Canis lupus familiaris: one gene and its partners. The protein of the gene in region 1 interacts with the protein of each later gene in a pairwise test. Links are inferred from orthologs where the notes say so. Each region holds a gene or a part of one and is shown in the gene's direction. Other genes may lie near its edges.

What was found.
Region 2: the proteins of EGFR (region 1) and tubulin alpha-1A chain interact in binary tests that used the Homo sapiens proteins (3 or more experiments, as listed by UniProt). The link is inferred for Canis lupus familiaris from reciprocal best matches to the Homo sapiens genes EGFR and TUBA1A.
Region 3: the proteins of EGFR (region 1) and AHSA1 interact in a protein complementation assay, tested with the Homo sapiens proteins (2 studies listed by BioGRID and IntAct). The link is inferred for Canis lupus familiaris from reciprocal best matches to the Homo sapiens genes EGFR and AHSA1.

What each region holds. Positions count from the first base shown.
Region 1 is NC_049239.1:5,956,322-5,966,152, forward strand, and holds the start of EGFR (epidermal growth factor receptor), read left to right. Parts: upstream 1-4,523; 5' UTR 4,524-4,538; coding exon 4,539-4,626; intron 4,627-9,831. UniProt on the Homo sapiens protein: Receptor tyrosine kinase binding ligands of the EGF family and activating several signaling cascades to convert extracellular cues into appropriate cellular responses.
Region 2 is NC_049248.1:41,237,259-41,246,928, reverse strand, and holds tubulin alpha-1A chain, read left to right. Parts: upstream 1-4,801; 5' UTR 4,802-4,899; coding exon 4,900-4,902; exon of another isoform or gene 4,903-5,753; intron 5,754-7,011; coding exon 7,012-7,234; intron 7,235-7,374; coding exon 7,375-7,523; intron 7,524-7,967; coding exon 7,968-8,948; 3' UTR 8,949-9,159; downstream 9,160-9,670. UniProt on the Homo sapiens protein: Tubulin is the major constituent of microtubules, a cylinder consisting of laterally associated linear protofilaments composed of alpha- and beta-tubulin heterodimers.
Region 3 is NC_049229.1:50,570,870-50,580,745, forward strand, and holds the start of AHSA1 (activator of 90 kDa heat shock protein ATPase homolog 1), read left to right. Parts: upstream 1-5,007; 5' UTR 5,008-5,168; coding exon 5,169-5,248; intron 5,249-6,569; coding exon 6,570-6,760; intron 6,761-8,484; coding exon 8,485-8,567; intron 8,568-8,957; coding exon 8,958-9,075; intron 9,076-9,876. Other genes in the region: VIPAS39 (spermatogenesis-defective protein 39 homolog), read right to left, coding at 360-462, 1,123-1,215. UniProt on the Homo sapiens protein: Acts as a co-chaperone of HSP90AA1. Activates the ATPase activity of HSP90AA1 leading to increase in its chaperone activity.

The sequences.
Region 1 (9,831 bases):
CCATGTCTCTGCCTCTCTCTCTCTCTCTCTCTGTGTGTCTCTCATGAGTAAATATATAAAATCTTTAAAAAATAAAAATAAAAAAAATACCCAGAAAGCTCTTCAAAGAGGAAAACTGCTCATCAGAGGAGCAAAAAAGTTTCCAATTTGTCGCTGGCAAAGAGAATGAACAACAGCCTGTGTTATGAAAATTGATAGCCTACGTGAGATTTAATATGGGAAATACTAGAGTCTCAATACATACTTGCTAATACGGTGTCTGTGGGTGCTTTATCCAGAAATTTTCTGGCCAAGCAGAAACTTGGGTAGTGACTTCTCTAAAAACTTTCCAAGATATATTCTGAAATAGAATATGGAGTCCTAATGTCTCTATTTGAAAAGTCGTAGTATTAGAATGATGGGGAGCACGGCCTAGATTTGGGTTCAAGGCTGGCTTCATGACTCACAAATTCTACTTTGGTATGTCGGGGAAGTTATTTATTTAACCTTTTCCAAGCCAGTGTCATCTTGCTATAAAAGGCAAACAGAGTATAACGTAGCTAACGGGTCAGCTGAGCTCACTTCTGATCAGTGCTTAGCATGCAGTTGGGGCTGCTCCTGCTATTCCTAGGGTGGTGGCAGCAGTGGCTCTTGCCCGGGATATGGCCTGGGATATGCCCTGGGAGCACTCTCTGCAGACACTGGGTGCCTGAGAACCCTTTATGCAGGGCCCAGTCTGGGCAAAGCTTTGTTCTCTTAAGAGGATGCCATTCCTGCCAGCTCGGTCATATAGTTTTTCACCTTGTAAGCAGCACGTTTTCAGACCACTCCACTACCTGCCAAAAAGTACAAAATTATCTGGAATGTCACCCCTTTATCACAAACTCAGAGGAGAAACTCAAACCTGAGATAGGTGTCCCAGTAGGATGTTAATGTCACACATTCCTCTCCATTCCTTGGGATCAACCCAGTACCAGGTGGTCTGCCTGAAGTGTCCCACTGCCTCCTTGAGTAATTGTTTTAATAAGGCTTTGCTTCCTGAGATACCATCAGATCATATCAAAGGTTGTTGGAACAAAACATCACTATAAAGGTTCATACTGCAACAAAGAGGTGGCTAGAGAGAACTCTAAAATCTTGACACTTTGTCTTCTTTTGAGGGGCCCATGCGAGAAATTGCTAATGCAGTCTTAAAAATTCGTTGTACTTTTGGGCAGCCCGGGTGGCTCGGTGGTTTAGCGCCACCTTCAGTCCAGGGCGTGACCCTGGAGTCCCGGGATCGAGTCCCGGGATCAAGTCCCGGGATCGAGTCCCACGTCAGGCTCCCTGCATTGGGCCTGCTTCTCCCTCTGCCTGTGTGTGTGTGTGTCTCTCTCTGTGTCTCTGTGAATAAATAAACAAAATCTTTAAAAAAAATTCATTGTAGTTTTAATTGATTGAATGTTTTAACATAAAGATACTCTGATTTGTGCCACCTCCCGTATTCCTTGACAGAAGTGTTAGAGTCAGTTCTGTTGTCTTTGTTAGGTACGCCCCTTTGTTAGGGACTTTGTCGTGTGCAGCTCTTCTGTAAGACCCACTTCCAGATTCATCCTATGTTCCGCTGTGATGTTTCTGGTTTGCTCTTCCCCAACTTGTGTTCCTGCCGTCTTTGTGTTTCTTTGCAAACTGCTGGAAGTCCTGTTTGGAACATGTGGAGGAAACCAAAACATGGTCTACAGGATCTTCACAGCCTTCTTCACCAGGGGCTAAATGAGTTCAGCAGGCTCAGTGCTCCTTCTTACCTGTTAAAACAAAGGAACAAACAAGAATGAATCTAAATTCAGATGAAAAAAACACAGGTTCTAGGGGTGGTGAGAAGCCCTGTGCTCGGGACCCCTCCTCCAGCAACAGGAGAGTTCTGGACTTTAAGTGCCCTTGCTTTAGGCTGGGGATTCCTACTCCAACAGTGAGAACACCCCGGGCTGGACCAGGATGAATGTCACTAGTGAGTCTGGCCAGGACAGCAGGGGATCTGGTTGTAGAATGGGGCCAGCGGCCACCTGCCCCCTCTGGGAAGGAGCAGTGAGGAGAGGCGGTGCTCTGCAAAAGCTCAAGTCTCTGCAGCTCAAGTCTCTGCAGCTGAAGGGAAAGGAGAGAAAATGAGTGAAGATATCAGTGAGGGTGACAAAACACGAGAGCCCCCTAACTCTGGGAAACGAACAAGGGGTGTGGAACGGGAGGTGGGCGAGGGGGGGTTGAGGTGACCGGGTGACGTGGGTGACGGGCACTGAGGGGGGCACTTGGCCGGATGAGCACCGGGGGAACTCCAATAAAAAAAAATTTAAAAAAGTTTCTGCAGCTGGAGAAAATCTAGTTGCTTCTGGCCAAACCCTTAGCAGACTTCCCAGCACTTCTCCTGCTTGAGTGACCCTCTTGTCTCAGGAGGGGGGGCGGGGGGCACCTGGCTTCTGCAATAGGGTCTCCAGTGCGGTTTGTCTGGAGCCTTTATTGGAAGCGCTGATCTTCTGCGAAGTGACTGAGCGCGCGTGTTAGCTTCCCGGGGAGCCCTGGCCGTGCGCGTCGCTCCTCACGCGTCCACTCAGCTCTTCTGCGAGCCCGGGTGTGAGCCCGGAGTCGGGTCCCAGGGGGTCGGGGGTGGGCGGGGCTGCCACGGGCCCCCAGACTTGAGAGCGGCGGCTCGGCTGCCTCGTTGGGGTGGGGGCGCCCGGAATACGGGGTGCTTTCCCATCCTTGCCATTACCCGCCTGGGCCTCAGGCGTGGCCGCGGGGCGCGGGGCCCGGGATACTCCGCCAGGGGGAGGCACGGGGGGCGGGGATGCGCGGGGGTCCCCAGGGCCGGGCGGGGGGTGCTGCTCCGCGAGGGGGAGGCACGGGGGCGAAGATGCGCCGGGTCCCCAGGACGGGGCGCGGGAAGGGGGGGGGCGGCTGCTCCGCCAGGGGGAGGCACGGGGGGCGGGGTTGCGCGGGGGTCCCCAGGGCCGGGCGGGGGGTGCTGCTCCGCGAGGGGGAGGCACGGGGGCGAAGATGCGCCGGGTCCCCAGGACGGGGCGCGGGAGGGGGGGGGGGCGGCTGCTCCGCCAGGGGGAGGCACGGGGGGCGGGGTTGCGCGGGGGTCCCCAGGGCCGGGCGGGGGGTGCTGCTCCGCGAGGGGGAGGCACGGGGGCGAAGATGCGCCGGGTCTCCAGGACGGGGCGGGGGGGGGGGGCGGCTGCTCCGCCAGGGGGAGGCACGGGAGGGGAAGGCACGGGGGCGGAGGTGCGCCCGGGTCCCCGGGACGGGGCGGGGGGGAGGGGGGCTGCTCCGCCAGGGGGAGGCACGGGGGGCGGAGGTGCGCACGGGTCCCCGGGACGGGGGGGAGGGGGAGGCACGGGGGGCGGAGGGGCGCCCGGGTCCCCGGGACGGGGCGGGGGGGGAGGGGGGCTGCTCCGCCAGGGGGAGACACGGGGGGCGGAGGTGCGCCCGGGTCCCCGGGACGCGGCGGGGGGGAGGGGGGCTGCCCCGCCAGGGGGAGGCACGGGGGGCGGGGATGCGCGGGGGTCCCCAGGGCCGGGCGGGGGGTGCTGCTCCGCGAGGGGGAGGCACGGGGGCGAAGATGCGCCGGGTCTCCAGGACGGGGCGGGGGGGGGGGCGGCTGCTCCGCCAGGGGGAGGCACGGGAGGGGAAGGCACGGGGGCGGAGGTGCGACCGGGTCCCCGGGACGGGGCGGGGGGGAGGGGGGGCTGCTCCGCCAGGGGGAGGCACGGGGGGCGGAGGTGCGCACGGGTCCCCGGGACGGGGGGGAGGGGGAGGCACGGGGGGCGGAGGGGCGCCCGGGTCCCCGGGACGGGGCGGGGGGGAGGGGGGCTGCTCCGCCAGGGGGAGACACGGGGGGCGGAGGTGCGCCCGGGTCCCCGGGACGCGGCGGGGGGGAGGGGGGCTGCCCCGCCAGGGGGAGGCACGGGGGGCGGGGATGCGCGGGGGTCCCCAGGGCCGGGCGGGGGGTGCTGCTCCGCGAGGGGGAGGCACGGGGGCAATGATGCGCCGGGTCTCCAGGACGGGGCGGGGGGGGGGGGGGGGGCTGCTCCGCCAGGGGGAGGCATGGGAGGGGAAGGCACGGGGGCGAAGATGCGCCGGGGTCCCCAGGACGGGGCGGGGGGGCGCTGCTCCGCCAGGGGGAGACACGGGAAGGGGAGGCACGGGGGCGGAGGTGCGCCCGGGTCCCCGGGACGGGGCGGGGGGGAGGGGGAGGCACGGGGGGCGGAGGGACGCCCGGGTCCCCGGGTCCCCGGGACGGGGCGCCGCCGCCCGCCGTCTGGGCCGCTCGGCTCCTCCCGCCGCCGCCTCCGCCGCCGCCTGGCCCCTCCCCCGGCGGCCCGGCCCGGCCCGGCCCCCGCCCCCGCCCCCGCCCCCGCGAGCTAGACGTCCGGGCCGCGCCGCGCCCGCAGCCTCCGCCCCCGGCACGGTGCGCACGCCCGCGTCCCCGCGAGTCCGTCCCCGGCCCGAGTCCCCGCGAGCCCGTCCCGCGGCCGCCGCCCCGCAGACGCGACCTCAGGCCCCGCCGCCCGCCGCCCGCCGCGATGCGCCCCCCGGGGCCCGTGGGAGCCGCGCTCCTGGCGCTGCTGGCGGCGCACTTGCAGGCGAGCCCGGCGCTGGAGGAGAAGAGAGGTGAGCGCCTCCCGCCCTCCTTTCCCGCTTCCTGGAGGGCCGGCTGCGCCCCTGCCGGGGCCGTGGGAGGAGGAGCGGCCGCGGGTTCCCGGGCCGGGGCGTCCCAGGCGGCCGGACGGCAGGCTCCCTGCGCGGGGCCCGCGGGGCTGCAGCGCGCGCAACTTCCCGGGCTCGGCGGCCGCGGGGCGCCCCGCGCCTCCTCCCGGGGCCCGGCTGCGCTCGGGTGCGGGGTGCGCGCCCCCGGGGCTCGGGGCGAGCCGGGTCCCCCTCCGCGGCCGCGGACCTCCCGAGCACACCCCCCCCCCGGGTGTCGCTGCACCCCGACCTTGCCAGCCGGGGCGGGCCCTCTCCTGGGGTGCGCGCACCCTTCTGGGGGGGTCTCGCGTGTGCCTCTGCCTGTGGCTGCCGGGAGGGAGGAGGCGCGGGCTGCCCTCCTCGGCTACAAGGGGGTGCGCTGGGCTCCCCCGCGCGCGGCCCCACGGCGCTTGTCCGGCTCTCCATCCCCCTGCGCGCCGGGCGCACCGGGCTCCGCGCGCGCCCCTGACCTCCGGGACCTCCGGGACCTCCGGGACCTGCCGGCACCTGCAGCCCGTGGGGTGCGTCCCCAGGCTCCCGGCGGCGCCCGGACGCACGGAGCCCCGTCCTGCTCAGGTCCCCTCCGCTTCTGGAAATGAGGCCCACGGCACACTTTCCTTCTCAAGATCCCGAGACTTCTCTCGTGGGGGGGAATGTTCCTTTTAGCCTTTTTGAAGAATTTGACGTTGGGCCAACCGAAATATTGAAGGTGATGTTTTTTGAAAGAAGGACTGATGTCCGTGGCTCACCGGTGCCGAATGTCCAGACTGAACATGAGCGAGCCTTGGCTTCGTGACTACCGGCCATAAACCCACTTGACATGAGAAACATGCCTCCGAAGGCTTAATTACACAATTTCAAAATCAAGCAACCCGGGTTCCAAGAGTCAGGTCTGTACTTGCTGCTGATGTCATTGGCCGGCGCTGAGTGAGTTGGTTAGGGCAGCATTAATGCACAAGCCGGTGTGGTTCCCAAACTTCGCTGCGGGTTACAATCACTTGGGATCTTCAAACCAAACCAAACGAAAACTCAGGTCTGGCCCCCCACCCCCACCCCAGACATCCTGATTTCCTTGGTCTGATCTGAGACCTGGGCATCAGGATCTTCGAGAGCTCCTCTGGTGGGTCCGCTGGGCAGCCAGGTTTGGGGATCACTGGTGTAGGGGAGAGACTGCTAAGGTCTCTGGAAAGATTACCTGCTAATGTAAAGAAGCTTTTTTGGAACATCTGGAGTGTTAACAACCTTGCAAAATATAGGAAAGAGGAGGTGGAGGGTGATTTCAGTAATAGGGGATTAGTCTTTTCACCGACAGAGCTGGTGGAAAGCTCTGCATCCTCTAAGGAGTCTGAAGGGCTCCCCTTCATCTCTGCGGGGAGCCCTGGAGGCTGTGGTCCTGCTCCTGCAACAGGGTCCTCTTAGGCAGGTGGTGTCTCTCCCTCTCTGCTACAGGGCCCCCCCCGCCCTCCTTAATTTAAATTGACTCTTGGAGCACCTCCAAAGCATCACTTTGTGTGTGTGTGTGTGTGTTTTAAAAACTCCTGAAGTGTTTGCAGCTCTTTGCTCTTCCCCCTTTGAACACTGCTATTAGTGCTTGGAGATGTGTTTCCAAGAAAATGTATAAATACCGCTTAATTTGCCTGTCCTGTATTTGCTTAAAACAGAATGCTCCTGGACACGATTGTGAGGGTGGGCGAACAGATGTCATTCTGTTAGAGTAACATTACAAAACCAATTTCAAAGGATGAATTATTAAAAATATAAAAGGAGATGTTTTTACCAAAGGTGTTAAGGACCCTTAGCAAATTCAGTCGGTTTTGTTCAAGCAAATTTACTCGGTTTAGAGAGCCTTTTTTCCCTAAGATTTGGTATCTTCTGTTCTTATGGCTCTTGGTACTGTCAAGCACTGTCTTACACGTCCTTTTAATCCTTACATTAGGCATATGTGGTGAGTACGCGCTTTATTAAAAGGGGGAACTGAGGTCCAGAGAAGTAAAGCGACTTCTACATTTAGGAAGAAGCAGAGCCAGGGTTCAGACTCAGGCCTTCTCACCCGCGAGTCCTGCCTCCTCCACCTAGCTCCACTGCCCCCTGTGAGTTCTGGTTTTAGGAGAGCCAGATCGGGTGTGTGCAAACACCTAGTGGCAGGTGCTGGGAGGCGGAGGAAAGGACCAGGGAACGGGCTCCTTAGGACTGGTCTCTGTGTGAAACTTGGAACAAACATCCACCTATTGGGTGGTCTAGACTCTTGCTCCTTTACTCAGTAGTTGCTTTGCCTTCTGTGGAGGCAGCTCAGTCGCCAGAGCAGCAGTGAGCTTGGACACTGCTCGCGGATTGTTAAGCAAGCCCCTCTCCCTTGCAAAATGGAAAGGTAAAGGTGTTGCTCCAGAAGAGAGACCCTGGGTGGTTCTCTGGGGAGTGCGGGGGGCCTGTCCCAGCTTTTCCTCTGAAGACATTCTCGATTTAGTAGGCTGTGTTGAAGAGGAGGGAATGAGAGGATTTTGAATTGTATCCCAAGTGAAGATCCACTACCCTCTTTTCTCTCAGGAGTTCAGAGGTCAGGAAGCCCAGTAGGTTGTGGCCTGGAAGCCGGGACGTCTCTTCTCGTTCCAGCTCTGTGTCAGGCTGGACGTGGCAGTTACCAGCCCCAGGCTCCTGAGTCCATCTCAGAATTCAAAGAGTATTTATTGAGTGCATAGAATGTGCTGGACATTATGAGTTAAAAGGGGTAAGGGTGATCTTAGTAGTTTCTACTAACACTTCCACTGTGTGATTCTTTAAGTCGTTAATGAAGTACAGAGGGTCCTTGATTTATGATGGTTTGACTAGAATCTTTTATTGTATGTGCGATGCATGTTAAGTAGAAACTGTACTTGGAATTTTAAATTTGGATTTTCCCCCCCAGGCTAGTGATAGGCGGTGCGGCCCTCTCCCGTGATGCTGGGTGGTGGCAGCGAGCTGCAGCTCCCAGCCAGCCCTGTGATCACCAGGGTCGACAACCCCCACACACTGACAACCATCCTGTTTTTCACTTTTAGTACGGACTTCACAAGTCATGTGAGGGAGTCAACACTTCATATAAAATAGACTTTGCATTAGATGATTTTATCCCCCTGTCGGCTAACGTAGGTGTCCTGAGCACGTTGAGGGTAGGCTAGGCTCAGCTATGATGATCGGTAGGTTGGGTGGATTAAATGCATTTCAACTTAAAATATTTTTAATTTGCCCTGGGCTTATGGGGACATAACCCCATCGCGAGTCAAGGAAGATCTGTATTAGTTAATCGCTTTTTCAATCTGCAAAGGGGCCCAACAGTCTGTGTATCTCATGTATTCACACGCGTGGAGCTCTGTTCAGCAGTTACCTGGCCGATGGCTCCAGTGGGTTTGTAACCATTATTTCTGGCTTTATATATTTAGTTGCTGAGTCCGTGATTTTTCAAAAATTCATTCTGAAGTTTGAAGAAGCCGATTGCCAAAAACCCATTGTGCTGCATGATTAGACTTGGTCCACGTGACAGCACTAACATGTTTTGAAATGTTTTTAGAGGCAGTGTCAGTAAAGATGAAGGATCCCGCCCTGTTTAAAAAGAAAATACTCCCCCCCCCCCCACACCCCTTGATCTAAACTTCAGGATCAGCAGCTAGTGTCTGAACCTTTTCTGACAGGAGTGGCAAGTCAACTCTGATAGGAAATTGATGATTATGGCTGTTAAGGGAAGCTGGCCCCATGCTGGTGCCCCAGGCCCTAAAATTCACGTGGGATCAGAATGTTAGCTAGGACCCACCTAGGGAAGCATTTGGCCTTTGCCCCGTGGCTTGCTGTGAAAGTTGTGTGTTTGTGTGTGTGTGATTTTGGACTCAGTACATGAAATGGGCTTATTTAAAGTCGGGTTTTACAAATATGAGAAAAGGGCAAAGTTCTAGAACGGTTCCCCCCTACATTGTTTCCACATATACGGTTTCCAAAGCAGATTCTGCTTCTCCGATCTGTACAAAACTACTTTCAATTTGTTTTCTTCTGTCACTTTTGGACATTTGAAATCATCGTAAGAAACATTTTTGGCCTTGGTTATTACCGGTTTATTCTTAAGCCATCAGCACATACGGGGATAGAGTATAAACCTTGTTCTCGGGGGTCATTCCAATCGGACATCCTAGCGTCTGTCCATCCATTCCTTCTTCTTCATCTTCCTCCTAAAAGGTCGCCTTTCCTAAGACAGTTGCAACAGTTGGCTCTTTGCACAACCTCGAAGGATAGCCTGCCATCCAGCCCATGGGGATGAGATGAGCAGGTTAGTTTGAATTCAGGCAAGGATCCAAGCTTATGTCAAATAACCGGTTTGACTGAAATTTTCACTTTTTCAGAGTCACTAGGTACAGCCTCCTTCCTACACATTTAGATAGACACAGTCAATACAGTTGTCTAGAAAGTTCCCTGAGCCAGTGGGGAGCAGGAGGGGTGTTTGGGGCCAGTGAGCGGTGGGTGGTGGCTTGTTTGTTTAGCCCTGTTAGAAACTAAGTGCTGGATTTGACATTTTAAATCTCTGCAGGCCCTGAAGTATAATATCAAATGCCTGACCCTGTTGACTAAGCATCTGTGAATTGCATATGCTTAAAATAAATTTTACTCCTACCAAATTTCAGCAGCTTGCTTCAGAAAGTAGTATGTGAAAGCGAGCACTGAGGGATAGAATTTCCTTCTCTGCTCCAACTTATAGTCCATCCTGGTGGGCCAACACACCTGGCCCTGATTTAGGAGAAATAATTACATAAGTTAACCGCTGCTGTTTGTCCTTTAAGTATAAGGACACGAATAGCTGCCTGTTACGACTTAGGCTTTTATTTTCTTTGCGTTTGGGCCACAGTGAGCAGTTTGCACTGTTCCATCCACGTTCTGAGACTTAGGAATGAATCAATCAGCGTTGGTGCTTGCCTTTTAGTCATTTAGGGCAAGAGAAATCTATAGATAACCAGCGTGAAACTATGTCACAGAACCAATGATAGAATTCTGTACACGGTGAATTCTTCTGGCTTTATTCTTTGCTTTTAGTTCCACCTGGAGAGAGGGCCAGGTATAGATGGCCCTGGGCTGCGGGCATTTCCCCTGGAGAATGCACAATAGGAAGGCATC
Region 2 (9,670 bases), on another chromosome or scaffold:
GAGAGACAGAGACACAGGCAGAGGGAGAAGCAGGCTTCATGCGGGAGCCCAACGTGGGACTTGATCCTGGGTCTCCATGATCACGCCCTGGGCTGAAGGTGGTGCTAAACTGCTGAGCCACCCGGGCTGCCCAGATTATTATTTTAATTCATTTTTTTTCTATTTTTATTTTCCTTTGTGGGGTATCTTTATGAACTCATGGGTTTATATTGTTAATTTTTTTCTTTTTTTTTTTTTTTTTATGATAGTCACACAGAGAGAGAGAGAGAGAGGCAGAGACACAGGCAGAGGGAGAAGCAGGCTCCATGCACCAGGAGCCCGATGTGGGATTCGATCCCGGGTCTCCAGAATCGCGCCCGGGGCCAAAGGCAGGTGCCAAACTGCTGCGCCACCCAGGGATCCCTGTTAAATTTTTTATTATAAGAATTGAATAAATACAAAAATGAATAAAACATAATTTTATAGCATAACAAGTAATTATAAAGTGACTAGCTTTTATAACCCCTTTGCTTCCCTCCTCCCTATCAAAATCAACTCTCAGGAAATGACCTGAATTTTAACACAATTTTAAATCAATATATCTTTTTACAGATTTTTAAGTATACGACTTACTTCCGTTATGGAATTAAAGCAGCCATATTAAGGATTTGAGATCTTCATCTTAAAACTAACAGGCAGCCATTGATCTGCTTTAAGCAGTGGAGTGACATGATCTGTGAGATGTATTTTTTTTAAGATTTTATTTATTCATGAGAGACACAAAGGGAGAGGCAGAGACATAGGCAGAGGGAGAAGCAGGGTCCCCAAGGGGAGCCTGATGCAGGACTTGGCCCAGGACCCTAGGATCAGGACCCTGAGCCGAAGGCAGACGCTTAACCACTGAGCCACCTAAGTGCCCCTGTGAGATGTATCATAAGATCACTTTGGCTGTGTGAAGACTGAAATGAATAAGGGTAAGAAAGAGTAAATGTATAGAAAATCTAGGAGGGCACTGACATCCAGGTAAAAGATGATGTACTTACTAGAATGGAGGCAGTTGAGATAGAAAAGAACAAGATTTGAGATTCAGGAGGTAGACCTGACAGGACTCAGAGACTGATTTTATGGTGGTTAGAAAAGGAGAGGAAGATATCAAAAGTAATTCTCATTTCTGATTTGAGAAACCAAATGTGTGCTACTCCATTTGCTGAGCAAGAGAACCTTGTAAGAGGTGCATATTTATGAGAAGATAACTAGTTCAATTTGGGATACCTGTGGGAAACTGCCAGAGACAGGAAGTTTACTACACAATCTGGAACTAAAAGGAGTTGTTAATAATTGATGGGCATATAAAAAGGATTTGAAGCCTTGGGAACGAATGCACTTACCATCTACTAGGAGTGACTAAGATCATATGGAATAAAATGAGGAAAGAATCTAGGACTGAACCTTGAGAAATGCCAACATTTAAAAATTGGGAGAGGAGGAGGAACCAGCAGTGACAGAGAAGAAACAAAAAAATGTAAGGGGGAAACCCAGAAAATGTAGAGTTTCTGAGGACAAGGGAAGAAAGTGTCCCAAGAAAGAGATATCAACTGTGACAAAGCTAATCACAGGTCAACAAGAACTGAAAAGTATCCAGTGGATTTACAACAACAATGGAGGGCATTTGGTTCGAAGGAGTGGTAAGAGCAGAATCCAGATTGAATGGATTTAGGGATAAATAGGAGATGAAGAATTAAGAAGAAAAAAAGTGTTATACAACTTGTTTCCTACGTAAGTTATAATACATGCAATGGATTCTACAAAGCTCCTCTCCCTATACACACAAACACATGCTGTTCTCCTATATACATGTGCTTGTTTTACTTCTTCAATTAGATTGAAAGACTCTAGAGAAAAGAGATCACGCTACTACCTCTGAATTACTCACATTATCCAGGATGGTCAAGAGCTCACTGTAGACACTCAGTAAATGCTTTTTGAATAAAAAAGGCAAAATACTGGGGATCCCTGGGTGGCTCAGTGGTTTAGCAGCCTGCTTTCTGCCCTGGGCATGATCCTGGGGTCCCGGGATTCAGCCCACATCAGGCTCCCTGCATGGAGCCTGCTTCTCCCTCTGCCTGTGTCTGCCTCTCTCTGTGTCTCTCATGAATAAATAAATAAAATCTTTTTTTAAAAAAAACAAAATACTGGTTAAATGCCCTTAAATTACTAGGCGTTAGAGTAGTTAGTGAAAATATGCACAGAGAGAAACCGTTCATTTAAATCAACAAACATATATATAATGTCTAGTGTATGCTTGGCACTTTGCCAGGGACTAGGATTCACATTTTAATGGAGAAGGGGTGTAGATACACAAATAAATAATTTAAATTCTACAAATATTATAAAAGAAAGGATGTTTTATGCTAATCTTACAGTGGACACGAATGAATTATTAGTAGAATACTTAGAGATATATATTTATGTAAGCTAAAGAGATTGGTAGGAAAAAATAAGAGGTGAACTAGAAAAAAAAAATTTTAATAGTCCACATGCTAGTAAGTCAGATAATGAGGGAAAAAAGAATAGATTAGTTATTTCCCCCCTGCTCTCCCATTTATACTTTTAAGATTATCAGTGCTCAAATAATCTATTTCTGACCTAGATCTTATTGTTACTTATGCTCAAGAGGAGAAGAAAAATCCTCATTTGCATAAGGAACAGAATAGCTCTGAGATAGAATTACAAAGAATCAATTGCATGAACACGCCTCTCTTTTATTTAATCCTCTGTAACTGCATAAAGAACTGAGACTATTGGGGAAATGACATATTTCTTTTATATTGTAAAGAAAATAAAATTCAAGACTGCCTCTCATTCCATAAGGAAAGATTTGTACACTTTACCATGGTCCAGTAGTGTTTCATTTATTTGACTTATTACAATTTTATAAGAAGTATTTTCAATGAGCTACTTATAAATCCTTATACTCCCCAATGCCATTTAATTCTTATTTTAATTAAATGTACTTCTAGGTGAGGAAATATTTGAGTTGTCCTTAATTCTCCTGTCTTTTTACTGAAATATATTTATTTGCTAAAAGGATGGAGATAAGATGATGTTGAAGATTATCTTTCCTATAAAATATGCAAGAAGTAGATAAATATGATATGTGTGCCGGGTTTTATTTTTTCTAGGGAGACTACTGCAGCAAATTTGAACAAGTAAAGCACAGCTATGGATAGCAGACTAGAAAAATCCACGGCAGCCATTGTCACACCACAACCTGCAGCAGCTGTTTCAAGTCCCTCCCTCCCACGCCTGCTCTGCCTGCCAGCCCAGCAGGAATGAATGGGCTCTGCAGAGCACTGTAAATGGTGCTGCAGACCCTGAAAATCTGTTGCTGAAAACTGAACATAAAAATCATCTGCCAAAATATAATTTTCAGCTTCGGTGGTCATAACGAACTTCTTTACCTCCGAAATTCCATTAGCAACGTCAGGTGGTAATCAGTCCAGAGTCTTATTCTGCAGAGCCCATCTTTGTTGATAATAGAGCCTTTCTAAATAGCAAAAGAATGTTACTGCAATCCATTTCCTAGGGCTGAAAGCAAAGCCTTTTTGTCCCAAGAGGCAATTGAGCAACCACCACAGTCTCTAGTTGAATAGCAACGGTGTGAGGCTGTCTACAATTCCCACAGTTAGAAGTCCAATCTCTGAGAAGATTTACTGAATTCACACAAGAACTACATAAAAAAAGAAATGCAGTTATCGAGCTGACAAACTTGTCTGTGGATGGAGACAAAATTATAAAATGTCTTCTTTCTTACATTATACAGCTCTCCTTTTAAATTTGATGTCTTAGTTATTCTCTTCCTTTCCAGAAAAAGGGCGGGGGGCGGGGAGAACAATGCCGAGAATAACTGCATGCACAGGTACTAGAACTAGTTTCTGAACTCCTTGTATTTTCTCAATTCTGTTATCAGGAAAGATGATTCATCTTAAGGAATAATACACTACATAAAATATAGTAATCACACAGACTTCTGGTAAAAGAGTATTTCTAGTAGACTATTTAACTACAGTAGGTTTCTTAGATCTTAATTATCACCGTGTTAGAACTACTTGTGTGCTTCCATATTTAGTATGGTTTTCTTCCATCCTCCCTTTTGTTTAGCTATTTGGGGGAGGGGTGCAAAAGAAGGTCTGAAGATAAATTACTTGAACCTCAAAAGCCATTTTGGATGGCTCTATTACTGAACCTTCTTTTTATATTAAAAAAAAAAATCACATGCACCCAAGCCTTTTTAAGCATCATTCCCATCTTTTCTCCTACTTTATCTATAAAGCAATTAGAGACGTTGAAGCCTCACCGAATGTGGTAGAACTTAGTATATTTTGAGAGAGGAGCTGGGAGTAATTTTCCATCAAATATTTCATGTGAACACAAATTCTGCGATCTAAGTGTTGGAGAAAAAAAAAAAAACCTACACTGGTGATTTTAACTGTAAGTGTGAGGTTTAAGCAATAGCAAAATCATCCAATTCAAGTTTTCTTTCTTCTTTTCTCCACCCGCCCCCCAACCCCACCCCATCATGGATGCTCGGCTGACTGTTTTTGCACAGTCTCTTTGTCTGGAGGATGCAAACAGTCTATGGATGCTAGGGAAAAAGGGGTGGGGGAGAGATTACCTCATCCCATGTTGCTTGCACCAATCACCACTCTCCTGTCGTGACTTCTCCGGGCAGATTGAGGGGGTCTGGACCAACAGGAAAAGGCCCCAGCCCATCCCCATGGTGACCGAGTTGTATATAGGGAGCCGCATCCGCCCATGTGCCGCAGGTTCTCTTACATCGACCGCCTAAGAGTCGCGCTGTAAGAAGCAACAACCTCTCCTCTTCTCCGCCATCCGCCCGGCAGCCGCCAAGCAGCAACCATGGTAAGAATCTTCCTTCTCTGGCTCTTTGTGGCCCTTGGGTGGGGTCAGTCCCCCAAGATCTGCTGGGAAAACCTGAAGCCCTCTTTCCTTCTTTCCTTTACAGCTTCTTTGGGTAAGGGTCAGCCTTTATGCTTTGTTTGCGAGGTGTAGCTTCGCTGCCCCAAATCCTCGAGCCCGGCCGCCGCCGCAGCGCGGGGTGCGGGTGCGGGTGCGGGTGCGGGAGCGCAGCCAGGACTGCGCCCGGGGCGCAGCAGAACCGTGGGGAAGAACAAAGGCGGCGCCGAGCGAGTCCTTGTTATCTGAGCCCTTCCGAGCCGCGAGCAGCCCGTCTGTCGGTGACGACAGGATCTGGGGCAGGGAAAGGCGGCCCCGGTGTATGTGTGGCTCGGACAGGCTTTTCTTCCTGGCGCTGGTCCCAGGGGGAGGGCGAGAAGAGGTCCCCCAGCCCCGGGCGCGGCGGGTGCAGTTGGGCAGGGGGAGGGGGAGAGGAGCGGGACAAAGCGCAGCCCCGGGCTAGAGGAAGAAGATCGCTCCGGGGTCGGTGGCGTTCTAGGGAGATACCCGCGTCTGCACGGGGGAAAATGGCTAGTTTCTGCTGGAACCCCGGGCAGCCGGCGTCGGGGCGGCGCAGGGGCGGAGTTGTTTGTTTCTGGCTTCTCCGGCCTTGGAGCCGCGGGGCGGGGTTCGCTCGTCCTCTCTAAGCCTCCTCTGTCGGAGACTTTTATTAAAAGCCTTTCATCGTTGTGGAACTGTAGGCGTTAAAAGGTTTTTCATTCACTGTTAAAACGTAGATGAAATATTTCTTTCTTGAGATGCAAAATCACAGTTCTCTTCACAAGCCCTTTAAAGTCTGGTCTGGGGCGACCCCGCCCTGACTGGAGTGAGTGTGTGTGTGTGTGTGTGTGTGTGTGTGTGTATGTGTCTGTCTGTCTGTCTGTGTGCTAGCCGCACGGCACGTCCAGCAAGAGAAAAAGCTCACTTTGAGAGCCAGGGTACCCTACTGCCCAGGACCCAGGGAAACGCCCTTCCCCACCCCACCCCCCCGCCCCCAACCCCCGCCCAAATGTCAGTGAATAGACAATGGCTAGACAATGGAAGCTGTAGCCATAAAGACTATAGGGAAGAAAATCTCTTATTCAACGTGATGAGTAGAAATATTCTGTGGTGAGTAGAGAATCTCAGAATGAAAATACTATTTTATTATTTTAAATAAATATTTCATTATCCTTGCACTGAGCTTTTATTCTTAGGTAGGTCCTCTGATACTTTTCTAATTTAGGAACTATTGTTTTAAAGATTCTAATAATTTTTCAGGGTTTTTTTTTTTATTTTGCAGTGGAGAAGATTCTGGAAGGACATCTTTTTAAGTAATGAAAATGCTGCAGACAAAGAACTATGTACTCTCTGTTCAGCTGTCTTTTGTTCTAGTGAATCTACATTAATTCATTTCAGTTTAGGCATATGGTCCCAGCCCGGGTCACAGAAGGAAAACTGGCTAATAGCACAATGAGATCATGTAGGCAGTTTCTGGAAATAGAACTTACTCTGTTAAATAATGTAGCAGACAGAATAGGCTAGTACCAGGCACAGCAAATGCAGCAATGCAGCAGTGCAGGAGGCAGACCTTGTTAGCTTCCAATCCCCTAGTACTAATGGATTCTGCAGATACACTGCAAAGGGGTGTGGCATCTAGCTTCAGCTGCAGCACAGATGTCCATGTTAAAATACCAAGTCATATGTAGAAGAAACTCTTATTTAAAGGGGCAAGAATAGTAATATTGATTCCAACTAATTAATGATTAAATTTAATTTGCTTCATTTTACAAAATCCGTGCTTTAAATATTTTTAAATAAAAAAATTATATTTAAGCATGACTGGAAACAATGGGCTTGCACATGTGCGAAACAGTGCAACATTATTATTCAGACCACACCCATCTGCAGCATTTGTAGCAGGTGCTTTCCTTAATCATTTCTATTGAATTAGGGATAATCTCAACTAAACCTGAAGAATACCTGTATATTATTAGAAATATTTTCAAAAATTAACTAAAAATTCAAAATGCTACCACAACCTAATTTACAATTTTCCTCTTTTCCTTCCCATAGCGTGAGTGTATCTCGATCCACGTTGGCCAGGCAGGTGTCCAGATCGGCAATGCCTGCTGGGAGCTCTATTGCCTGGAACACGGCATTCAGCCCGATGGCCAGATGCCAAGTGACAAGACCATTGGGGGAGGAGATGACTCCTTCAACACCTTCTTCAGTGAGACGGGCGCTGGCAAGCATGTGCCCAGGGCAGTGTTTGTAGACCTGGAGCCCACAGTCATTGGTGAGTTGGCCTCAGTAACCCAAGTGAGCTCCCGGGGCACTGGGACAGGAGGTCTGTCTGAGGCTCCACTGACAGCCTGGGGCTGAGCAGGGTCATGCAGGTTGTTAGTGATGGGTGGCCACCTTGTTTTCCTTTTCCAGATGAAGTTCGCACTGGCACCTACCGCCAGCTCTTCCACCCTGAGCAGCTCATCACAGGCAAGGAAGATGCTGCCAATAACTATGCCCGAGGGCACTACACCATTGGCAAGGAGATCATTGACCTTGTCTTGGACCGAATTCGGAAACTGGTATGTTTATTCTCAAGAATAAAGTAAATAAGGATCTGAAGGAAGACATTTGAGATACGATGTTTTGTTTTGTTTTGTTTTTCATTTCAAATGCAAAATTGAAATGTAATAGAGTGAGGTGAACTACTCCTTTACAGTTTTTTTTTTTAATTCAATTGAAACATGAACTACTTGGGTATTGTTTTATAAATGTTAATGCAGATATTTTTAATTAAGATGCTTAGGAAGTCTAGGAAGGTCTACATGTATTTAAAAGCATTTCTTAAAAAAAAAATAAAAGCATTTCTTAAAAAATAAAAATAAAAATAAATAAAAAAATTAAAAACATTTCTTGTCAAAATAAGATCTATATTGTTGGAGTTGTATGAAAAGTGGAAATCTGTGTACTTATGATGATATAGCAAAGAGCAGTAATAGGTTTTCTCTATTCCTTTTTTCTAACAGGCTGACCAGTGCACGGGTCTTCAGGGCTTCTTGGTTTTCCACAGCTTTGGAGGGGGAACCGGTTCTGGGTTCACCTCCCTGCTGATGGAACGTCTCTCTGTCGATTATGGCAAGAAGTCCAAGCTAGAGTTCTCCATCTACCCTGCCCCCCAGGTGTCCACAGCTGTAGTAGAGCCCTACAACTCCATCCTCACCACCCACACCACCCTGGAGCACTCTGATTGTGCCTTCATGGTAGACAATGAGGCCATCTATGACATCTGTCGTAGAAACCTCGATATTGAGCGCCCAACCTACACTAATCTAAACAGGTTGATAGGTCAAATTGTGTCCTCCATCACTGCTTCCCTCAGATTTGATGGAGCCCTGAATGTGGATCTGACGGAGTTCCAGACCAACCTGGTGCCCTATCCCCGCATCCACTTCCCTCTGGCCACATATGCCCCTGTCATCTCTGCTGAGAAAGCCTACCATGAACAGCTTTCTGTAGCAGAGATCACCAATGCATGCTTTGAGCCAGCCAACCAGATGGTGAAATGTGACCCTCGCCATGGTAAATACATGGCTTGCTGCCTGTTGTACCGTGGTGATGTGGTTCCCAAAGATGTCAATGCTGCCATTGCCACCATCAAGACCAAGCGTACCATCCAGTTTGTGGACTGGTGCCCCACTGGCTTCAAAGTGGGCATTAACTACCAGCCTCCCACTGTGGTACCCGGTGGAGACCTGGCCAAAGTACAGCGAGCTGTGTGCATGCTGAGCAACACCACAGCCATTGCTGAGGCCTGGGCTCGCCTGGACCACAAGTTTGACCTGATGTATGCCAAGCGTGCCTTTGTTCACTGGTATGTGGGTGAGGGCATGGAGGAAGGAGAGTTTTCTGAGGCCCGTGAGGACATGGCTGCCCTGGAGAAGGATTATGAGGAGGTTGGTGTGGATTCTGTTGAAGGAGAGGGTGAAGAAGAAGGAGAGGAATACTAAAGTTAAAAATGTCACAAAGGTGCTGCTTTTACAGGGAAGCTTATTCTGTTTTGAACATTGAAAAGTGCTCTGATCAGTTAATTTGTATGTAGCAGTGTATACTCTCATATATAATTACTGACCTATGCTTTAAAACACGACGCTTTGTTACAGACTCAAGCTGTCCATTTCTCTGATGGGTTTGAATAAAGTATTCCCTGTCTTAAATGAATTTAGTTTTGTGTTTTCTATTTGGGTGTCTGAAATTCATGTACTTAGTTCTGAGAAAAAAGAATAACCGTTCACTCTATCTTATACATGTACTACGACTTATTTTAAAATTTACTATATTATAAAACTTAATCATAAAATACAAAATAGCGACAAATTACCACTAGATAACATCCATGCTCTTCTTAAATTTTAACTCCATTATATGCTAATACTTTTTAGAATTGATATCCACTAATACACAAAGGTCTGGTTGCTTTGTTAGTCTCATGACTAACAAAACGGTGAATACACAGGACACCTGGGTGGCTCAGCGGTTAAGCGCATTTGCCTTCAGCTCAGAGCATGGTCTTGGAGTACTGGGATCGAGTCCCACATCGGGTTCCCTGAATGGAGTCTGCTTCTCCCTCTGCCTACATCTCTGTGTTTCATGAATAAATAAATAAAATAGTTTTAAAAACGGTGAATATTCCAAACGCATTTATCAGGTCTTAAGCATATTTTTATGCATT
Region 3 (9,876 bases), on another chromosome or scaffold:
ATGACTATTAGAAGCACTTGCAGTATCTATTGCAAATTAAGACCCCACTCCACCCTTATCCCCAAGACCTACTGAATCATTCTCTGAAGTAAATCCTAGGAACCCAACAAGCACCCCAAGTGAGTCTGAAACAGCCAGCCAAGCATTAGCCCCAGGATGGCAGACCTGAGAGCCATATGGAAACTACTGCTGTTTTTTCCTCAAATTTATTCTGGGGTTAAATTTCCAAATGTATGTTCATCTAAAAATAGTCTACCCTCCTTCCCCTTCCTGACAAGCACTGAGGAGACAAGCAAGTGGGGTCTTCTAGTGACAAGAACCCTGAATATCAATCCCTTCCTACAGCCTCCTCTACTTACTTCCCACAGGTTCCCCACTCCAGCTGACTCTCTCCAGGTCATCGTCATCCTCATCATCCACGAAGTCACGAAGACTATTCACTGCTCTCTTGGATTCCTTTAACTGCAGAGGGATATAAGGCAGGGCACTCAGGCAATCACTACTTCTCACCTCTCTGACAACCAAGAAGGCTGAGCAATTGAAATTTAAAGTTGGCCAATATTTCACCCTCTGCAATTGAAAGCCTAGCCTGCTAGATATTTGCCAAGAAAAAAACATTGCTTTTTAGCCAACATTGCAGTCCAGTGGCAAGAGTTAGAAGGTATCAAAGCTGTTTTTAAGTTCTGATCATATACCTGGCAATGACTTGCTGTGTAAGCCTAAGTTTATCCATTTCTCCAAAAATAAATCCATCTCCCCATTTGTAAAACAGATGCAATAAAGAAGCAACTTTCAATCCAGTTCATCATTCAATCATTCAAAAATAACAAATTATATCACATAATAAAAGACTTGGGGTTCTGGGGGGGGAAAAAGAAACTGAAAGGAATAAATCACCTTAAGCATAAAAGTAAGAAGAGCAGAGAGTTGGTTTTTACAATACTTCTGGCTCTTTTTCGAAGGCTCTTCTCTATGAAGATTTTTCTGAAGATCTGACCCAAAACAATAGAGCCCAATAGAGACACAGTCAAAAGCCAGGTTCCCAAGGATGTAAGGAGAAGGAATTTGAGAGTGGCACTGTGGCGGAGGTGTGATCTGCAGCAACTGTTCATGAAAACCTACCTGTGAGAGCTCATCATCTTCATCATCAAAGGTGAAAGCCTTGAACTTGGAGCTGTTCCAATACTCTTCTTCATCACCCTTTGTCCGATTCATCTAGAGCGAGAATAAGACATTTGTCCTTTCCTGGACTGCTTTCAAAAGAGCTCCAAAAGCTTTAGGTTCCTTCACCACAAACTCTACCTCCCACCCCATCCATGCAGTAATTGGAGATATTTAAAAGAAGCTGAGAAAACAAATACTAAATCTGTCTCATAAAATCAGATCATTGGGTCTCCAACTGATCAAACCAGAGTTCTGATCCTCTAATTACCCACAAGGAGTCATTCATTCCTAGAACACCTACTCTGTTCAAGACACTCTCTCAGGTGTTGAGGGATGTTTACAAAATGCAAGACACAGTCCCTCTTCTGAAGGACCCTACAACAGAACTGGAGTATTCAGCATCGATACATATAAGGGTAACAGCACAAGACAAGCATGAGTTATAAGGACACATCACAAGTTTTGCTGAATATACAAGATCAATCAAAGCATCAACAAAACAGATGATAACTGCATTCATGTATTATTCAACATATATTGAGTGCCACCTTGGAGGCACTGTTCTAGGTTCCAGAAATACTGTAATGAATAAAACTGGCAAATATCACGCTCTCATCTCTCTCTGACTTGAGACTTAATCTCATGACCTGAAATCATGACCTGAACCGAAAGCATGAGTCAGTCACTTAACCGACTAAGCCACCCAAGTGTCCCCATTGAAGTTTCTGATGGCCCTTAACATACTCTAGATACTCCTCCACCTGTAATGGGGTTAACATCCCAATAAATATAACATAAGTTGAAAATATCCTACCCGGAAAATGTTAAATGGCACAGCTTAGTCTATCCTACCTCAAAAGTGCACAGAACATTTACATCAGCCTATCGTTGGGCAAAATCATCTAACACAAAGCCTATTTCATAATAAAGTTTTGAATATCTCATGTAATTTATTGACTGCTGCACTGAAAGTGAAAAACAGAATGACTGGGCAGTCCGGGTGGCTCAGCAGTTTAGTGCCGCCTTCAGTCCAGGGCCTGATCCTGGAGACCCAGGATGGAGTCCCATGTCAGGCTCCCTGCATGGAGCCTGCTTCTCCCTCTGCCTGTGTCTCTGCCTCTCTCTCTCTCATGAATAAATAAATAAAATCTTTAAAAAAAAAAAAAAACAAAACAATGACTGCATGGGTGCAGAATAATTTAAATGTATCAGCTGTTTACCCTTGTGATCATGTGGCTGACTAGGAACTGTGGCTCACTGCTGCTCCCCAGCACTACAAGACCCAGCACTACAAGAGTATTGTGTTGTATATTGCCAGCCCAGGAAAAGATCCAAACTCAAAGTTCAAACTATGGTTTCTACTGAATGTGTATCACTTTTGGGGTCCCTGGATGGCTCAGTAGGTTAAGGGTCCATCTCTTGATCTCATCTCAGGGTCGTGAGTTCAAGCCCCGTGTTAGCTCCACACTGGGCCTGGAGACTACTTTAAAAAAAAAAAAAGTATATATATATGTGTATCACTTTCTTATCATCATAAAATTGAAAAATTGTAAGTTGAATCACTGTAAGCCAGGGAATCATCTGTGCTCTCGCTTCCTGGCTCCTTTGTTTTCAGGAGATACAGGGATTGAAAGGTATGGTGGGAATTTTCTGCTATCTGATCCCTTCCCATGGTAGACATCACTAATTGATTTCTACTGAACCCAGATGTAACTTAAAAATCCTTCTGTATATTTAAAGCCAAGTGAAGCTGGCAGATACAAGGAAATCATCCCTCATGGTGGGACAAGCACAAGCTTTATTTATAGCAGGTAGCTTTGAATTCAAATCTTGGTTTCCCAATTCTGAGCAAACTGCTTAGATAATTTTACTTCTAAACCTTGGAGAAAACGACATCCTACCTCACAGGACTGCAATGAAGAAGAAAGAGGACTTAGGAAACACCTAGCAGAAAAGTAAATACTGAATGTCAATTCTTTTTGGTATGGGGAGTTTTACGGACACCTTTCCATCTTGGTTTCCTTATCTGTAAAATGGGCATAACAATAGACACCTACCTTACAAAATTGTTTTAAGGCTTAAACTACTTAATATACGTAGAGCGTGTAGTGCCTGACACAAAATTAATGCTCACTATTTTTATTAATAAAGTATCATGGTAATTAGAAAAAAAGGTAATATTTATAAGCAATCCTAAAGATCTAAAAAAAAAAAAAAAATAATCTGACACAAAAATCCTGAGAGTGGCTATCACAAACACTCAAGACCTGCATGGAGCACAGAAAGGTCCCCGGCACAGATGCCAACTTCTAGAGCGCTCGGTCATCCTCACAACAGCTCTGCAAACGTGGGCCTGGCAGATTCCATCTCTACTTCACTGACGAGGAATACGAGGCACAAAAGGATTAGGTACCAGAACCACTTTGCTAATTGCTCCTATAACCCAGGTTTCCCGGCTGCCGGATCCCTTCCACTCTGACACGCACGGCCCTTCTCTGTTTCACTCTAGGAAAAACTAATGCAGGTCGTTACTTCACTGCGGTAAACAAATATCTGTAAGTATTTACAAACCAGCATAGGATGTGTCTAACGAGCCCCGTAATCCCCCAGAGAATTTCTGGAATCTTTTTAAAATCACGCAACCGCAGGGGTGACACTTGACACCAACGTGTACTGCGAAGGCCCAATCAGAACCTAGCTTGCTTTACCTGTGCCAAGGAAGGAGATAAAGATCTGACGGCTCTAGAAGTTACATCGACCGGGTGCGATTATAAGAGTGACTGAAAGAGGTGCTTCAACATGATCCCAAGTACGGCGGCAGAGGCTTGTCCCTATCGTCACCTGTTTACTGGGAGCCCACGAGACGGGGTAGCAAATCCAAGCACACAACAAAGGAAAACAGGCATCGGCCAAAAAAAAAAAAAAAAAATTCCACGACCGACACGTTCGCTGCTTCACAAACCAGCTCCCGAGACTCAGATCCAATTATTAACTTCTGAGCCAGGCCTATCCCTGTGAGGCCATGAACCAAGCCCAGGGAATGTGGGTTAACCTCGCCGGCAGAGTGAATGATCCTTCAATTCCAGTGTCGACTGGATTGGATTGGATTGGAATCCACTTACAGTCCCAACCCCGAGCGTACTCGGTCGCTCCGACTGGAAGGGTCAGGCCGGGGCGGCGGGTGGGGAAGCGTCTAGGGACGCCCCAGAGAATAGGGGGGGAACGGATAAGTTTGCGGAGACTCTGGAATCAGCTAGACCCGCGGCCCAAACGGCTTGGGACACCCTCACCTCTGCCACACCGAGCCCACCCTTTCGGGACAGCGTCAGACTCTTCCGCCGCTGGACCACCCTTCCTAGCCAGACTGAGCCGCATAGAAAACAGGCGGAAGCGAGCAGTCGCGGGGTGGGGCGGAAGGAGGGAGGAACGTGAGTCAAGACTGAGGCCGCAGGGCATGCTGGAAATTGTAGTCTTTCCGTCTCCACCGTCACGCTCGGTTCTGGACGTGACACAGGGCTCCTTGACTACAACTCCCGAAACTCCCAGCGCTCCGCGCTTAAATCGTTTCCTTTACTTTTAGCGCGACCTTCCGCGGTTATCCAGCAGATTAGTCAACAAGACTACAACTCCCATGAGGCTCAGGAGGGCCAATTCAGAGGCTCGGGGAACAATGGGACGTGTTCTTTGTGGCCTTTACGGGTGATGAATGGTTGTGTGAGCGGTTGCATTTCGGACCCCTTTCGAGGTAACCCGAGGGAGCTTGAAAGAACTCTCGAACAGGCACAAAGTAAAATCCGACGAGGTGAAACGGAAGTACCCGGAGGGAGTGAGGAGGAGCCGGAAGTTAAGGCGGGGAGGGGCGGGGGGTGGAGGGAAAAGCAAGCCAGGAGGTTCTGCGGCCGCTTCTAGTAGTTTCCAGGCGCTGCCGGGCGGCTGGGACCAGGCGGTCCGGAGGCTGTGGCTGCGGCTGCTCGGGCGCTGGTGGCGGTGCGACAGGAGAGCCGATGGCCAAGTGGGGTGAAGGCGACCCACGCTGGATCGTGGAGGAGCGGGCGGACGCCACCAACGTCAACAACTGGCACTGGTGAGGGCCAGCGAGCGGGCCAGGCCGCGGGAGGGCCCGGCCCAGCCGGGGGTGCGGGTCCCCGGAGCCTCGGTCGGAACAAAGCTGGGGCCCGGGGCAGCCCTGCGGGGACACGCGGGGAGGTCCTCGCCGCGGCACGGGGTCCGTGGCCCCGGGCCCCTCCACACACCACCACCTGCCGCTGTTTGGCTCCTCGGAGGGGCAAGGGGGCGCCGCGGAGGGCTGCGCCCAGAGGAGGGGTTCCAGGAGCACGAGAACGTAACCCCCGAGCCCATGCATGCATCCGCCGCGAGCCGGGACGTGCTTCCCACACGTGGCCGGAGGAGTCGGGGGACCGCCGTGTTAGGCTCGAGGCCGGTGGGCTGGAATTGCTGTCTTGCGGCTTATGCGTGCGCTTCGGAGTCAGCCGCAGGGGACCACTGCCTGAGTCCGGAGGGCAAAGGTTCGGAGCGTGTTCCGTAGGTGCTGAGAGCTCAGGGATGCTGAGGATGCCACGGCCTCTCACCCGGAACTGTTCCATTTGGTTGTGTTGTAACTCCCGGGGCTGCCCCTGGTTGCCGGGCAATCGTGGCTTTATAATGTAACCAAAAGCCTATTCTCCGTTATGACATTAAAAGTACTATTTCCTTATCTTTTCACTCCCCTGAACTTTGTTCACACCACACCGTCTTTACTGTACCTTTCCCCTGTGGCGGCTCTTCTTGCTGCTGGTTTCTCTACTGTTAAGCACATGGGGAGGCAGAGTGTGATTTTTCTCCTCTGTATCCCAGCCTGCCTCCTCTCCTCTTAACGTACAAGGGTGCTGGACTTAACATTGCTTCCACGGCCACCTAGAGGACACGGAACGTGTAGGGGATTTTTAGCACCGCCTGAATTTGACAGGTCAGCCCGCTGCGCTAATGAGGTCAAGATTATGGGTTTATTACTTACTGGGCTTGTGAGTTAAATACTGCTTTCAACAGCCCGCTCTTGTGCTCCTGACCTCAGCGAGATGGTCACAGTTTTCCATTTGGTCCAACGGGGGCGCCGTGTTGAAGTGTCACATACTGACCCTACAGCATCTTGCTGAGGATGGAAGGCATCATTTTCCGTTTGATTTGTAACCATTCCACGCAGCCGTGGTTGTCTTTGTTGACCATATGGGAGTCCTTATCTTCCTAAAACGGGGTAACACGCTTGTGGACGAACTAGAGTGGGACTGATTTTTTTTTTTTTTTTCAAACTATTTGTCAGGCCTCTTGTAGCCTTGGATTCTTTTGCACAGAGCAAGCAGTCTCTTCCATTTGGCTGCTGCTCCATAGCTTTATTTTCTGTTTTGCAGGACAGAGAGGGATGCCTCAAATTGGTCCACGGATAAGCTGAAAACACTGTTCCTGGCAGTGCAGGTGCAAAATGAGGAAGGCAAATGTGAGGTGACCGAAGTAAATAAGCTTGATGGAGAGGCATCCATTAACAACCGCAAAGGCAAACTTATCTTCTTTTATGAGTGGAGCATCAAACTAAACTGGACAGGTAAGTCTATGCTGGACTGTTAGGACAAAAGTTAACTGCATTTTGCTTGACTTGCTAAGGAGCCAGGGAGAATGGTTTGAGGGGAGTTGGGAACTCTTGAAGGGAGACAGTGCTGCTTTGGAGTCCTGAGGAAATCAGTATTGGGTGCCAAAATTTCTCTGCCCCTAGGGGATGAACACTAAATGCATTTTTCTCTCCGTGGGTCTCACAAGTCCCCATCAGTGAAGCAGTTAGGCCACTGAATTTTTGGGCTACAAATATGTTAGGACGTTTTAAATGAGGTAACATTTCTCACACTAGCTAATTTTTACCTCTTGGATGATTGATTTAAAGGTGGGAAAGGAAATTTTTGGGGGGGTATGGATCTTTTTTTTTTTCTTTCTCCAGTGTGACTCTACCAGTGTAGACCATTATGCTAATGAAGTTTTTATGTGACTATAATTTGGGGCAGTTTTACTCTCTCGTTTATGTCCCTTCTGTGATGGCATTGGCAAAGAATTAGAGCCATGTGTGCGCCCCACCTGGATGGTCCTGATAGTTGGGAGGCTGAATTTCAAAAGGCACTAAAGCTAAAGGAGTACATGTAGGGGGCAAAACATACAACAGATTTGTGCTTCAATGAGCATTTCTTAAGTAAATGGTAATAAAGAGGGGAAAAGTAAATCTATATCTTCATGACCTTTTAAAAAACTACTAAAATATGGTAGTCTGAAAGGAACCTTTAGGTGTCCTCTTGCCCGGTCCTCTTTTTATAGATTGAGAAGCTGATGTCAAGAGAAGTGGAGATAAATAAACGTCCTGTTGGTCAATTTTGAAATATAGTCAGTTCTGCTATAATGTCGCCCACGTGTTCTAAAAATCACCACACTGTGCAAAATTGCTCAACCAAAACCACAGGGCTTATAGGGAAGATAGGGTTAGGGACACGACACAACACCCAAAACCTTCACTGGTGACACGTTTTTAAAATTTAGGAATGTAAAAATTGATAGCACAGTGCTACATGTTATATGGGAAGAAATACATGAATAATATAGTAAACGTGCTGCTTTACTTTGAAAAAGATCTGGAGTTCACTTGTGAAAGCAGGCATCGTATCAGAAGGGTTGCAGCAGGTGGGTTATTGTGAATTGGTGCTTGGAGGGTCAACTGATGAAATCAGAGGGAACATTACGGACCCCAGTGTGGGTGGTATGGCTCGGAACACATGGGGAACTAAGGTTGCTGGGAGATAAGTGTTTGAGGAGATCCTGTCTTGTGTATTCCTGTCTGGCTCCTTTCAGCTGGGTGTGGTTCTGTGTGTGCACCTAGTGTTTCTCATGGAAGAAGTCTCGTGTTAGGAAGCGTGGAATTCATGCTGTGATCAGATTGTCCTCTAGTAGGTCAGTCGCATGGGAACAAGTTTGTATTTTCAGAACAAGGATCCTAGCAGAACTGACTGCCTTGATTATTGACCCGAATCCTCCTGGGCAGAATTCACACTAGTGCCACATCCGCAAAGCCCTTAGTCCCGTACGGTAATCACACAGCTGGCCCGCAGATCTAATGAGGGAAGACCTTTCTTCTGGGGAATTGGGGGAGGGTTGATTGTATCTGACATTCTCTAGAATAAAGAGGGTCAGTTCAATAGTTCAAAAGAAATATAAGCAGAGGAGTAGTTAGGCGTCCAGAGCCGACTTTGTCTGCAGAGGGAGAGACTAATGACATTGCATTGCTTTTGACAGGTACCTCTAAGTCCGGAGTGCAGTACAAGGGACATGTGGAGATCCCCAATTTATCTGATGAAAACAGTGTGGATGAAGTAGAGGTTTGTGCTTCTTAATTCTTCATCTGAGTCTTCCATATCCTCTTCTCAGATGAGAAAAATGATTTCAAGATTAAAGCCCAGGCTGGGTCCAACCATTCAGAACCTCATTCTGCAGATAATCTTCTAGGTCTGTGGTGCTGTTGGGAGCGTCCGGCACAGCTTGTGCTTATTTAATTACTTTGTTTCAGCTAGTAACGTGTTCTAACGTTAGCCACCTTGGCTTTGGCAGAGAGAACTGGAGGAGGAACACTCATGGGGATTGGAAAGATACCCCAACCCTCACACATTTCCTTTGGAAATGTCAGCAGTTATCTGATTGCTCAGCACCCACATTCCACATTGTGGGTGCCCCTCAAGTTATTTACCACCTACTTCTGATCTTTCACTCAGATTAGTGTGAGCCTTGCCAAAGATGAGCCTGACACAAATCTCGTGGCCTTAATGAAGGAAGAAGGGGTGAAACTTCTAAGAGAAGCAATGGGAATTTACATCAGCACCCTCAAAACAGGTATCCCTTGAGTAGTAATGTATGCCTTGAGGAGATAGTTCCCCCCACCCCCGGTCATCAGACTCTGATTAAGGGATCCGATAGTCCTTTGTTTGCCAAATGAGTGAACATTTTGGGGGAGGGGGCCTCTTCATCTCAAAGTCAGTCTTTAATCTCAATAAGGGAAAGATGTAGGGATGACTTGCCTGATAATCTATTGACTGTTGAGCTCTTGAAATACGGCTAGTACAAATTGAGTTGTGCCATGAGTATAAAATACAGTGGGTTTTGAAAACTTGTACAAAAAAAAAGAATGTGAAATATCAACAGCTTTTTATGACAATAACCTTGACATATTTTGGATATATTGGATTAAGTATATTAATAAAATGAACTTCACTTGTTTGTTTTTTGGCTATAATGTGGCTAGTAGAAAATGTAAAATTCTTTCTGAGGCTGACCTTGTATTTCTGTTGGACTGTGCTAATCTAAAGACTTGGCATCCCCAGACTCACTGCTCGAGCACAGTCCTAGACTATCTTTAATAGGCATTCTCCAGGGACGCTTAGGGGGTTTTTAGGTTGCAGGTAGTCGAGCTCTCCCTTAGAATTCCAGTTATGCCAGTGTGTTCTGGTCTTGGTGTTGGAGTGCATAGAGTGACTGTCAGGGGTGATCCCTCTTTTGGTGGGAACCAAAGTGCTCTGGTGCCAGAACTAGTTGTGGCTGTTTTGCAGAGGTGAGGCAGAATGGAGGAGGGGGACAGATCTGCATCCGAGGGCGTCTTGCCCTATTCTTGAAGTCATTGGAAGTGCCACTATGTTC